Caenorhabditis elegans: one gene and its partner. The protein of the gene in region 1 interacts with the protein of each later gene in a pairwise test. Each region holds a gene or a part of one and is shown in the gene's direction. Other genes may lie near its edges.

Evidence for each region.
Region 2: the proteins of C09G1.4 (region 1) and gldi-7 interact in a two-hybrid assay, tested with the Caenorhabditis elegans proteins (one large-scale study listed by BioGRID).

The regions. Positions count from the first base shown.
Region 1 is NC_003284.9:15,992,822-15,999,290, reverse strand, and holds the start of C09G1.4 (uncharacterized protein), read left to right. Parts: upstream 1-2,353; 5' UTR 2,354-2,369; coding exon 2,370-2,451; intron 2,452-4,852; exon of another isoform or gene 4,853-5,076; intron 5,077-5,559; coding exon 5,560-5,709; intron 5,710-6,177; coding exon 6,178-6,447; intron 6,448-6,469.
Region 2 is NC_003280.10:8,526,184-8,534,397, reverse strand, and holds gldi-7 (Sodium/potassium-transporting ATPase subunit beta-1-interacting protein), read left to right. Parts: upstream 1-3,175; 5' UTR 3,176-3,223; coding exon 3,224-3,343; intron 3,344-5,845; coding exon 5,846-6,078; intron 6,079-6,133; coding exon 6,134-6,602; intron 6,603-6,803; coding exon 6,804-6,926; intron 6,927-7,005; coding exon 7,006-7,488; 3' UTR 7,489-7,599; downstream 7,600-8,214. Other genes in the region: W01C9.1 (DUF148 domain-containing protein), read left to right, coding at 257-367, 435-545, 589-717, 994-1,197; mrps-18B (28S ribosomal protein S18-2, mitochondrial), read right to left, coding at 7,710-8,093, 8,155-8,214.

The DNA.
Region 1 (6,469 bases):
TTATATATAAACTTTATTTCAGTTTCTCTGAAAATGTTCTGATGCTTTTCTTCTGTTTTTTACTAAATTCAATGAGTACAGCAAACTAAAAAGATATACTTGAACAAATGTTATACTTTTTTATAGAAAAATCGTTGACTGTTTTCAAATGGCTAATAGTTCCTAGTTCAATAAAACAATCCAGCCAGTTCAAAACTTACCGAGCCCACCACACCCAAACTCCCTCTCAGCTATTCCTGATATGGAATGGCAATTCAATTCAAATCAGTACAAACATTTGAAAAGAGAAAAGTCTCGGAGAAGAGGGAGTGCATCATGAAACGCGTCACTAACAATCAGAGGGGACTAGCAGGTTTCCGGTCTTTTTCGAAGAAATCAAGCTTTATGATACGATAACTATAGTGAGCCCCTATTTTTTTCTCGGCTTTTGAAATACTATTTGAAAAATAAAATGGTATGACGTGCATAGATGGTCCTATCAGATTTTTTTTGTGGCGAAATAATTTAACATCTTACTATTAGTTCTGTTAATCGGAACGCATTTATTACAAGTTTTCCGACAAATTGAAAAGTATTTTTTTACCCATTATCTATTACCCGTTGCATAAATTATCAATCTTTAGTTTTGTTCGCTATTTTCAGTATTCTTCTTCTTTCTTTTTCTCCCCATTTTTTCGCGATAGATTTATGTGTTTCCTGATACATCACGTACATCCTGCTGCTTCGGCTCGCACAAAAAGAGAAGTTCGTCGCTTAAGAGTAAGTACATCATTCACTAAGGCATCACAACCATCTGGCGAGATTAAACATGTGTTTAACGAGAGGGGGACGGGATGGAACCCTAACTTTTGACGTGTGTGTGTGTCTACCGCCATTCGGGTGTTAGATTACCAAGCAATAATGCAAATGGGTTTGGCGGTTCAGATACTGATCATAAGTGAGTCACATTTTTGGTATTGCGGTAGTTTTTGAAGTTTAGAATTTTGAAGTTAAATTTTTCATAGTCCTCTTTATAGTCATTACCCTCAATTTAAAATTAAAACCCAATGACAATCACGAAAAAGTTTGCAATACCAGTGGTTTTATTAAACATAAATATTAGGGCTTTCATGCAGGCGACGTCTGCCTCGTGCCGCGAGCCGCGCCTCCTGCTTAGTGCTGCGCGGAACCCGAAAAGTGTCGGCCGCTTCCATGGAGGTCCTAATAGTTATCATCAAAAGCTTTTGGGGTCTCTTCTGAACAATCTCGCCATTTCTATGTTTTCGCCAAAAAATCCTAGTTCTATGTAATGTTTACACTGTATTCAAGTTCGTTTTTTTTCACTTTTCCAGAACATTCCTTGCTTTTCTTCTGTACACCCACTCTTCTATTTTTTTTCTTGTTATCACATTGTTCTGAACGACTGCATTGTGTGTTGTATGACCTTTTCCTTTTCGTGATCAATCCGTCCCTGGGGACAGTTCTATTAGGTCGGTGTGCCCACGAATGGTGTGCATTCTAGAGATAGTAGTGAAGAAAAACTGTTTTTTTTTTGCTTCAAGTTCGAATGCCGAAGTTGGTGTTCAAACATTGAATTGTCAATGGGGACACAAGTTGTTTTTTGTTTTTTTTTAATAGAAAGTTTTAGGTGCATTGTTTGGTTATTTTGGAAGAAAGCTGTATTTTTGAAAGCGTGCTCTTAATCTTTTTTTCCGATGCTCTTTCAATCAGTTTCCTTACTCATCATAGTAAAATCCGATATTTCTAACAATACGAGGGTAGCTATTTTTCACTATTTAAAGATTAAAGGGTCAAAGGACGATCCGTTCTCCAAGTGCTATGCACTGCGGATCTGGGACTCAGGTACACTGCCTGGTGGTGATCCCACTGGGTTGTAATTTAAGCCACGTCCGAGCCGGGGACTGTGGCCGATAATCCAGTCTTGGATTGCTCCACTTCCCAATAGGGGCTGGGTGAACCTAGGAAGTGAGGCCGGACTTGAACTCGTGACCTCCAGATTGCTAGCGGCCACCACTACCGACTGAGCTATTTGCCCCCTTATATATTTAATTACTCTTGATCAAAACACACCTAAAACTTCCAAGACGTCAGTACGTGCACCAGTGCCAGTCACGATTGTGTCCACTTTACATATATATCCAATTAACAGTGTCACTTTTCACATCTTTACGTCCATCTCGCTTTTTTTTCGCCTTCTTTTTTTCCCCTACTTTTCCGCAGCCCCCAAAAATTGAGAACATACCTTAACTAGGCCGATTATATCCCATCAGGTCTTTGATGTTATCATTTGTTTCTTTACCTCTGATATGTTATCTTTTTTTTCAAATTGTTCTCTTATAAACTTACAATTTTCAGAGACACAAATCACAATGTCTTCTGGAAATCGGCAGGCTCCAATGCCCCCACCAAAACCTCGAAATTTGGGGCGTGGCCAGTTTTATCAACAAGGAGGTACGTCATAATTATTTCTCACTTTTTTTTCCAAATTCAAAATTAATTTCTTCTTTTTTGCACCAGTCATTCAGTATTCGCTCGTCATCTACAAATAGAAAAGGGAAAAATTATGAATTTTCAATAGACGTACCTTTTTTTGAATACGTGTCTTTTTCGCAAAAAATGTTTTTTTTCTGTGATTTGTTTCTAATATTTTTTGTAAGAGCAAAGTTATTACCTACCATATGCCTAAAATAAATGTGGAATACTAGATTTCGAACATGGTGCATCGACTGGAAAATGTTTTTGGCGCTTGTTGCTTAAAAAACAGGTTACAAATATTTATTCACGTTTTTTTTGGAACATTTACTATGTAATACATAATTTCTTTTAACCGTTTGAACAATTTTTTTCCTGTTTTTTGCTCTAGTCATTTAGTATTCGTTCATCATGAATTATTTCCGAGCTAAAAGAGGCAAATTATGAATTTTTCAAAAACGTACTTTTTCGAATGCAGTGGTGTAGCCATTTTTGCACAATTATGTTTTTTACATGTTTCTATGAGTTCAGTTCAGCCACAGTTTATGGATACAGATATTCATAATATGAAAGATATTTTAAACACGTAACTACTTCTGGAGTTTTTTTTTTTTTATTTTTGTTTAGAATTGTGAATATGCTCCGAAATCGGTCTTTGCAGAATTTTCAAAGTAACATATTAAAAAATTATGAACATTATATTTTTTTCGGTAAAATGTTTGGTATTTTTTAACGGAATGTTTTAAAAAATTGCAAAATTTTTTCGCTATTTTTCTTTAAAAGTGGAGTAGCGCCAGTGGGAAAGTTGTTAAAAACCACTCCTTTGGTCCCAAAATGACCACATATCATAATGAAACTTATTTATTGTCAAAAAGTGACAATTACTCAGTTTTTGCCAATCATAATTTTGGAAGTCGACCAAAAAAATGTTTCTACATTTTTTATACAGTAATTATTTGGATTAAAACATTGTAGGGCCCGGAACATGTGAAATTGCTTTGGATTTCTTCAAAAGCTCTTATTTTTCAAAATTCTGAAAATTTGCCAAAGTTTAACCGGAAATTATGAAAAGCCTGAAATTTTTTGAATTGTATTATTAAGATATTTGGTCTTTTTAGATCATAATGAGTGTCTACTCCATGTTTAAATAATACCCGTTTTTGCCTATTCCCCAAAACTCCAGTGGCCATTAATAGTCTGCAAGAACTAATTTCGGAAAATTTAGATCTGAAAGTCATTGAAACAAAACAAACTCTATTAAAATTTTAGGAGCGCATTTCCGCTATTTAAAACTTTTCAATCGTCTCTGTGAAATAAATGTTTTCAAATTAGGTAAAACGTTAGGTAAGTCTTGAGTAATTCTTAGTTAGTGTTGAAAACGTTAGTGTAGAAAAAATTTTTTTTGGAGCAATTGAATTTAACTGCTAAATTGTGCGTTTGTATTCCAAAATTTTGAAGCGAATCTAACAGATATTTGATCTCTGGCTTTCAATTGCAAAGTAATTCTCCCTTTTTTGTCGCTCACCACAAAGCGTCAAGTTTTCTCAGTTTCAGTGTAACATGCCATACACACCAAAACGACAAGCTTTTCAAAATAAGAAAAACGGAAAGTGAGCAAGTGACGCGGCGCGCGGTCAGCGTTTTTTTTTGTAACCCATCTCAAATGCCAAGTCTCTGTGTTCGTGGACCTTTTCAAGCGAGACTATGTCTGTGTATGTGTGTGTGCCTTTTTCATTTTTGCTCCCGAAGAGCCCAGTACTACACATTCAGAACTTTTACACTTCTAGCTCGGCACCATGTGCTGATCTTGGTCCAACAAACCCCAACAAAAGTGCGTTCTGCGTTTTGCCCGCAACCCATTCCTGCTTATTGCATTTTGAGGAAGAGCATTCAGACAGCGCCCATGATGCAGAATATTTGCGCGTTTTTTTTGAGTGTGTAAACGGAGAGCCCATTCTGAAAATAATCATTGGTTGCTGAAGAGGGCAAAGAATCGTAGCGCTACCAGTGTTTACTTGAGCTTGATCTTGGAATTTTGATTGGAACCTTTTTGATTTGAAATATAATTTTTGAACAGTATACTGAAAAAGTATGAAGCTCAACTGAAGCATATTGAGCTGAAAAAAGTAAATCTGAAATGTTCAGCACTTTTTTTCTACTTCCGATGTCTTTAAAATTGCTTTAAAAATATACTTACAGTCAACCATTTTAGAAATGCAAAACAATTTTTTCACTGATTTGTTTGATAAAAAAAACCACGTGGGGTCAAAGTGTCCCATGTTGGTTTGATCTTCAAAAAATGCGGGAGAACTTTTCCCCTGATTTCGTATGGCTAACCATGTGTGCTGACGTCACATTTTTCTGAAAAAAAAATTCCCGCCGATTTTGTAGATCAAACTGTATTAGGACAGCCTGACACCATTTGAAAATGATGCAAAAGATTTTCAGATCGGCTTCAAAGAGCTTCAGTTTTTCTTCAGACTTCAGACTTTCAAAGATATAGGCATTCCCAGTGCTCCTCGAGAGCATGCCTCACTTCTCCGTGTGGTCGAACCGAACCACTTCAACCCTTAACAGGCACGAGGGAGTGGACGAAAAAAAAAAAACGAAAGAAAAATGTGCCAAAACTTTTTTTTAGTGAGGGATGGGGTGTTGCACTCTCGTTTTGCCGTCCTCTTTCTTCTCCCCTGCTCTCTACTCTTCGGTAGATGTCATCAATAATTCTGTCCAAACATGCTTTAAACTCATTGTTCTTCCTCTCCTGATCCCCTTGTTGCTGCCGCCACCAAAAAACGTCACGTTCCACTTCTTCTTCCTCTCCTGCTGCTACTTTTTGCAGTTTCTTTTCGCCTATACATTTTCATTTTTTTGTCGGCGGTTACTACCGCTCCAGCTCCTACTTCCATTTTTTTCATTTTCATTTTATCTCATTTATAATGCGGACATATCGCGTTTCCCCCCAAACAGACCCTTTTTTTTTGGTTTAAGGCCGTGAGAAATAGAAAAGAGAGAGGAGGTGGAGAAGTAAAAGTAAAGTAAATGAAATAGCAGAGGTTATTGCACTTTCATATTTTTTTTCATTTGCAGGGTATCTCACCCCACAAGACAGCGACACGGACAGTGGCATAAGTGCAGATTGTGATCAAGGTTCACCGAGAGCAGCTGCAGGGTTTGGTGGAACAGGGTTTAACGGTACTGTCAACGGACAGCAAGTGAACTCCCAGAGGAGGATACCAGGTGAGATAATGGTATTGGTATTTCTAATGTTGAGGCAAAAAGGAAGATTAAAGTTACATTGCTAGTGGAGTCAGAAAGTCTCATTTCGCTTTGATCTACAGAAAATGCGGAAGGTGAGACGCAGACATCTCATCTGATTTGGCATGGCCCAAGAGCGTGCTGACACATTTTGACACATACAAATTTTTAGGGAAAAAATCCCGCATTTTTTGTAGATCAAACTGTATTGGGACAGCCTTAACTTCCCGTGAGAGGGCAAGAGTTTCTATAAACGGTTCAATTATTTACAAAAAAAACTCAGAAGTGTTGCTAAAAATTTGGACGGCCCATGTCGATTTTTAACACGATACATGCGCAATATTTGCATAGTTTTTAGTGGATGAAATTGTCAATAAAAAATTTTTGAACTGCGGTACTGTTTTGTTATCAAATCCTTACATCTTCGTAGTCACCTTCCACATTTTTCAGATCTCCCCCCTGGAGCATATCAGAACTACCGTAGTCACTCATCGGCCGACTACCTCACGCCAAACTCGGCGCGCAAGATTGCCAGCTACAGCACCACACCCCGACGGCTACCACTGCAACCCCAACAGCAAGCACCTGCAACGGCCACGAAGGCCAAATACCGAGTCAGATTCGCCGATGAGGTGGACAGCGGCGCGTCGACGTCAAGCGGAACCTCCTCCACACACATTTCGCCGAGAAACGATCCACAGGAGATGCTGATGAATTCAGGTGAGCACGGGTTGCAAATTCT
Region 2 (8,214 bases), on another chromosome or scaffold:
GCATTTGACATGTTTTGACGTATGGTACTCAAACATGAAAGTAACAAGATGGATTACTACCAGATGTGAATTGAGCTTTTCCGAACGATCGGATATCGAAATTATATACAGAGTGTCAACACACAAACATTCCACTCGCAGTTTTCACTTCCATTTTGACGTGTTTGCTCCATACTCCGCCTTTACACTTAGATATCTCGGTATTTCTATATTTCATCTGCATTATAATAATTATTATTATAAGTTCTATTATCCAATGCTTTTTCTAATTCTCACAGTTTTTGTTGGTGCCCAGGCGGCCAAGAAACCAATGTTCGACGTTCGACAATTCAATTTGGACGAGGTCGGTGCATATCGGACTGATCAGGTTCGCTACCACACAAAACTAAATAAACAAAATGTTTCTTTATTGTTTTAACAATTTTATTTTTCAGATTACACTGGAACCCGCTCCAAAACCTCCATTTCTTATCAATGCCACCTCAGAAGCCATTGAACAGTTTATGGCAATATATCGGACTCCTGGAATTGCACAAATTCGAAAAGTATTTGTTCTATAAAAACGTTATGTATTGAAATTATTTTTAGATGACAGAATTAGATGTTCTAGTTGGAACTTTACGAACGGAAGTACAACAATCCTATAATGCATATAAAGCAGAATCAATTCTCTTGAAATTAGCTCAAGATGAACGGTTACAGGAAATTGCGGAAAAGGTATGTTTAATTAAAGTTTAAATGTTTTATATTTTTCTCATTGTATACATGTGCTCTGAAAGTATTCGAAATAGCTTATTTCCCACATTGAAAAAAACAAATTTTAATTGTTTTTCTTTTGATCAATTTTCAGAATTCCAGTTAATTCAACAGTTTTCCACAATAGCAAGGTTAAACAACTTAAGTGTTTTACTTATTTTGAATCTTCTAGATAAGTAAACATCTAGGTTTCTGTAATTTCTTTAAATCAAAAAAATAATTCCAGACATATTTCAGACGCATTACACAATCGTCCACTTGCAAGCTCTGAAAGATACAAAAATGGGAACAAATGAACGAAAAGCTCGAACTGAAATGATGTTCTCAGAGTTTAGTGATTTTGTGGTATCAGCTGTCAGTGATGAAATGAGCAATATATTGGATTTGGTGATGAGGCAAATGCTCCGAGCGATATTATTTACGGAAAAGCTCACAGTTTAATTGTTTCTTAAAGTGTATTTAACGTATTTTTGTTTATGGTGCTAAATTATAGATTGTATTTTGAATATATTGATTTAAAGATTAAAATAAAAGTTAATGTATTTGTAATCCAGAGAGCACATCAGTCAGGATAGGTGCAAGACATAGGTAAACAGATTATACCAATGTATTTGAACACACAACCGGACAAGAGACAGGACAGAACCAGAAACAGGTCCCCCGAATGTTCCGCGCATAAAACAGAAAATCTCCAGTTACCAGTTGTATTTATTTGTTTTTGTGTCGCTGTGCCGCCCGTTCAGAAAGAGCAGTAAAGTGAAGAGTCCTTGTTTAGATAATGAGAAGAACAACAAGTAGCTAATGGAACGGAGAATCAGTTATTAGCTAGTTTTGTTTATCCCGGAAAAAAGTGAACGAAAAAACGAGAATGTACAAATCAGATAAGTGAGGAAAAGTGTTTTCCGATCGAGTTTCGCCTTCAATGGAATTTTTATGCATTTTCATTTCTTTTTTCTATTGAGATACAATTAAATTTTAACTTTGTTGCCTTCTGAATAAATTTAGAACCTATTCGAACTTTCTTTTGACTAGTAAACCGTTTTTGAATGAGTTTTTGAACAGCTTACTGAAAACACGAGTCGTCTTTTGGAAAAATATAGCTTTAATAATCTAAAAATTATTAAAGTAACCTGAGTCTTCAGTGAGTCGCAAAGTTGGCAAAGTTATCAAATGCTGCATTTTCCAGAAACGGGTAACCAAGTTCTCGCACAGATCCGCCTAACTTACCATGAATTATCATTTCAATTCACCTCACACTCATAAAGTTCATGTGTTAAAATCCGAAAAGCACGATGTTCGGAAGCATCGCTTTCACTCTTCCGTATGTAAACTAACTCTCTCTCCCACAATTCGACCCCTCTTTCGACAAGTCAACCTAATACTTTCTGTTTTCTCTCAATTCTCTTTTCATTCAGTTCCGCAGTTGAGGAGGTCTCATCGAAACTGGGCGTGTCAGTTACCTTTTTCTCATTAATTCTGCGTCTCTTCAAACAGTTCCAGTGTCTCGCTGGCTGAGCGATTCCCGCGCTTTCGAAAGGGGTCCATTCGGGTATGTGTGTATATTCCCGATAGTATGCTATTATTACCTATAGAACTAGAGACTCAGAGAGTATAAGTTGAATTATTGAAACTCTATTGTTTTAGAAAATCTTTATCTAGTTCTAGAAGTATCTTACAGTATTTTTCAAACACTTTCAAACCCGTCTCATGAAACTGTCATGCTACAATTAAACTCGTACTTGAAAATTTTAATATTTTGAAACTTTTCATGTGACCAGTGTAGTTTATGAATTTTATTTTAAGCAACAACCTAGTTTTTCAAAGGTAAATTTGAAATTTTAACATTCTCTATTTGTAGAATACATTAGTTTTGGAATTGTTTCAGTTCTAGATTTTTTTGCATTTGGTACATTTTTGATCACTGTATCGAATATCATAATTTTCATTTCTTTTTTCTTTTGAATTTGTTATCATTTTATTAATTCTTCTCAAAATGTTCTTCAGTTAAATAAGACACTAGACACGATTCTATCAAGAATATATTTCAAAAGTGCTTTAGTGAACTCTTAGGCACCATCCATTCATTTGTTTATTTGTTTATGAAGATGATATTTGCTTCTTTTTCACAGCCATTTCCATTCATCTTTCTTCGTTTTTTTCTTGCCTCCGTCTTTTACAACTACCATTTATTATTTTCTCACTTTCATCCCTCGTCATTCATTTTTGTCTGTTCCCATTTTTGTTGATAAGCATGGTTGTCCTGCAGGACGACTATCATCATCCTATTAAATTTTGGTTTAAGTGCTTGCAAATTATTGTCTAGATGTTACTCATTCATTAGAACAATTCATTTATTTCAAAACTTTAATTTTTCAAATGATGCGTTCTAAATATTAGTATTTTTTCATATATATTTCAGACCCATATACAGTAACTAGTGTGTTCAGTTGGATGGAGGCATGAGCCGATGTCTGTTCGGTGGCTGCTCTCACTTCTACTTGCCACGTGGACGCTTCTCTCGATAGCACGACTTGTATTCGATTTGATTGGAAATCTTTGGGTCGTTGTCGTTTTTGATTTTGTGCAGGTGAGATGTTTGACCTGTCTGCGGCTTTCTAGCAGGCATGTCATGTAAATACCGGAGATTAAGTGGAAGAAAAGGTGGGAATAAGGTGGATATAGGATTGAGCACGGAACCGGATACCGTGTTGATCATTTGAAATTTGTAGATACTCGTATAGTACCAATGATCATGGAAAACAGATCTTTGGCTAAGTGCTTTCAAAGATTGTACTTTGATATTAACTTTAACACTTATTTCAGCACGTTCGGAAACGTGTTATTCGAATGATTTTTTGAGTTTTTGATGAATAGTGAATTTAGAAAAATGGTTTTGAAACTCTTTTCTAAATCGCCGGTGATGAAATTGTTAAAAATTACTTATAGAGTGCTAGAATCCCCAAATATTATGATAAAACTTTGAAAACATTTTGAAAATTTTGTATTTTCAGTAAGAGAGGCTTATTATTCAGTTTTCGTCACTCATAATTTTTGATATCGGCCAAAAACCCAGTTTTTTCGTAAATTTGGCAATACAACAAAGCTTCGAATGAAATATTTAAATTTGATTTTTTTTTAACATTTGGACGTTTTTTGGGTTATTTGAAGTATATTTAGGCAAAACAGAAGCCACCAATGACGCTATTTCGCCCTCTAAAGAACTCCAACCCAGATTCAGTTAAAATTTTTGATTAGTTGATAAAGATCTGCTAGAGCTGTTTGATGTCAAAACCATTAAAGCGAAAACTTTAGATACTATAACCATAAGTTTTGATTTCATTGATTTACCAGTTGTTATAATCTAGTTGATGAGGAGAGCTCATCTCACTGACCGAAGCATTCCAATCCGATGGCATTACCTGTGAATACCTGAACCTGTTTGCCATGGGATCTGGTCATCTCTCCTCTTGCATTTTCTCGTCATTTTCGATGAATACGAATAAACATCCCACAAATGTTGTTTGTTCCCTGAGCAAATAGTCCATCGTTTTCCCTCAAGCTTGTGGCCTTAGATATTGAAGACATTTCCCTGCTCAATTGTTCTGATAAAATAACAACGGGCGGCACCGCGTTGGACAAGAAAACGGCTCTCTTTTTGTTTCAAGTATCTCCTCTCCCGCTTGCTGTCAGAACTTTTCGGAACGGAAACTGAACAAAAAATGAATGAAAGGATCATACAGGGCAGCTTCCAACTTGATGCGGATTGGCGGAATTGACAGGGATAAACTTTTTATTCGATTCGATAATGAGTATGACTAGTGGATCAGTTTGTAATTGGATTAGGTGTGTCATGGGATAATATATTTGAAGAATGCGTATGGTTCTGAAAGATATCCCGGAATTTGTATGCAAGTAGGGAAAATTATAAGTATACTATAAATAGTAAATTAAATGTGATTAAATTTTCCGATATTTTGGTAAAATTTGGTAAATCATCACCGGAAAAATTAAAAGATCAGTCACATTCAATCTGTTAAATTAAATCAAGCTTGTTCGTTTCAACTTATCATAAATCTCTATTTCTCCTTTCTCAATCCTCTGCCCCCCCAAACCAAAACCGTTATCTCGATTTGCGCGGCATCGCGCGAACCGATAAACCGCTACCACTATACAACAATGTGACGCCTCTCAAAAGGAATTCATGAGATGGGAGTGAGAATGGTTATATCAAATGAATCATGATTATTAGAATTATTATTCGCATTCTTATACGGTAGTTTTCGAGAACAAGTAGAACGAGAGAAAGAGGATTAGAATGACCCTGAAAACGGAGGTGAAGGGCTAAGCTCTCTCCCGCTGTGACACAAAATTGGTAGAAAGAGAAGAAGAATGAAATGTTAATTCCCATTTGATTGCCCTTCTTCAAACTTTTGAAACTTTCAAATTAAAGTTTAGTCTTAAAGGGGTGAATTCGCGGGGGAGTAGTTTCAAAATAAAGCAATACTTTAATTTACTATTGGTATTGTACTTCATTGCTCCACTTCGAAAAATTATATCCAATTTCTACATATCATAACTTGAGCAATGGGGCACAGCACTGATAGAGAAAGTACAGTAGTTCGAGTGCACCAATTTCTATATCCAATTAAAGAAAAAATATGAATACATTAATATTCATAATAAAATATTTATTTCCAGTCTTATTATTAGTTCAAATCGCCCAACCTTGCCACTTTTGGCGCCATCATTCTGTACATAGCCATCTCAATAACCGTACCGCCCGTTATTTCTGACATCGTGATTAAATATAACATGAGTAGGTAGAGACACTCCTGCTTATTCTCTAGATAATTGCCAGTTTTTCGACGAAAAATTGTGTCTGACCTCGACTATCCTGTCTAATTATGGGCAGGGATCGGGAAAGAATGGTTTGCAAAGTTTACACAAAAATATTCATGTTTTTGAGGAAAAACTGGGATTAATGAGATTAAGATTTCCTAGTATTTCTAGAAGAACAGAAAATTTTCAGGGAAAATTGAAAGTGTGAATATCATAAATTGATAGGAAAGAACAAGTCGAATATTTTCAGATTGTCTTGCTGATCTCGGGTTTATTCGGTGCTACTCAAAAACGACGTCCACTTCTTTACACTCTCCTCTCATCAAATGCTCTTTCCGTTACAATCAATGTGCTCATTTTCCTATGGTATATCGGAGTCTTCGGAGAAATTTCAAGACCATATCTTTCGGCTGGACTACCGTACTCTTCTTCGTTTTTCTTAAGATTCACACCATATTGTGATGCCGAGTTTGATGTGATAAGGTGAGCGATTTCATTTATTCTAATTGGAAATATGAAATAATCAAATGATTTCCAGAAAGAAATGGGTTCAAAAACAGTGTCTCATTCCATTCTACTCAGTCGAAGCATCTCAAGCAATTCTTCATATTATTTTTGCAATCGTAACTTCAATTTTCTCGATCTTAGTGATTGTGGAACTTCGAAAGAAACCAATAAGATCAAATTCCCAATCAATTAACCATTATGCTCAAATATGTGCATCAAAAGTTGCCAAAGCTCCAAGTTCCACGAATAATTCTAGCAGTGGATACCTCAATTCACAATATGACGACTTAGGATCTTCGAGAGAAAAAGTGAAAGTGACAGAGAAAAAAGAAGTCAAAGGACAATTCGAGAGAAATTCAAAGAAGAAGAAAAAGAATCCACGTCCAGAAATGCCAGCTCCAGATTGTGCTCCGTGTTCTTCAAATAGATCATCAGAAGAAGAAAGTAATTTGGAGGATGTGTACACACAGCCAATTAAAAAGAAAATTATGCCGTTGAGAGTAAGTTTGTTTGTTTTGAATTGGTTAAATGTTTCCATTTTCTATAATTTTATACATGATTTTCAAGTCGTTTTAGGTAGAAACTTTTGGCTACAACTTTTGAAAACTTGATGGTTAATTATTAAATTAGTACAAAATGGTTACTGTAGTCATTTAGTTGAATAAAATATTTCATTTCACAACTGCTATATTTTCTTTCAGAGACCTGACCTAGAAGAAGAAAATCGTGGAACTAATGTCACATCATTAGTCAGCTTCGACCCAAAAAGTGCGACTCTTTTGCGAATACGTCAGCATTTGGAGGCAGAGCCATCTGATAGAGATGTGAGTTTTCATGAATGATTTTCTATACAAAATATTTATATCAAGAGTTCATAGTTGAAATAATATCTATAATTTTCAGACGCCAGACTACGATATGTACGAACGACTCCGATCAAGATCTTCTGGACACTCTGAAGTTGCACCGGCTTCTACTATCCCTTTGAGTTCTGACTATAAATCAAGAAATGCTTCTCAAGATTCGGTTCCTTCAATGTTTGCTCCGATGCTCAACTCTCCAGCCCCATCTTCTACAACTTCTGGATCTTCTTCTAGAACATCTGGAGCTTCGTTGGCACACAAAACTCACATTGTTGGGAAAGGTGGAATTTCGTTATCAACTGTTGATCCATCCCCGATTCTTTCTCCAGGAATACGGTTATCGGAGCAACTAGGAGCCAAGAATCAGTCTTATAAAAGTGCATTCAGGGTCCAGAAAACTGAAAATGCTCGTGTTATAAGTCACTATCACGCTCCCAACGAAATTCCACTTTCCAGTGATCCATCGGTTGTTGAGAATGAATCTAACTATCCCGTGATGACTAGTGGTGGACTTCTTGTTTAATTTTGACTCAAATCTCATGTCTTGCCGTCTTTTTCTAGGCACTATATACGGGTTTATTCTTTCTTTTTTGTATTCTTTCTGCTTTTTTTAAAATAAATGTTTAAATAATTGAGCTCAATTTTTATTAGAACCAACAACAAGTGATAACAAATTACGATAGAGACCTACTAAAATTCGAAGAAAATTGCTGAAAACCGAACACGCTAGGAAAATTAAAACAATTACTTTGCCTTCTTGGCAAATTTATCATGACGAATCCACCATTCGTCCCAGTCGTTGTTCTTGTCATTTTTGAATGTTGGGAAGTGAACAAGTGGATCTGGATGAATATCTTGCAGACGTACACCAGCTCTCTCAACAGGCTTTCCAGGTTCATCTGTCCAGCTTTTGTACCATTGACGATAATCAAAGTTTCGGAATTCTACTCCAAATGTGATTGTTCCATGTTCTTTTGCTTTCAGAAGTTGTGCACGAAGTAGCGTGTACTGTTCACGACATAGTCCACTCTTCAGGATATCGATTGGTTGGTCGGTGCCATCTGCCAAAAATTGTTCAATGAGACCTGGGTTTCGGTAGTCGAAGTATAGATATTCGTCACGGCACACCTGTAATTCGTGAATTTGTTTGTTATATCTGCAAATGTTAGTTGCTGTTACAAAAACTTACTGGACAAGCATGATTTAGATTGAATCGGCCGTGTTTATCAATGCAGAAAAGTCTTGGAGG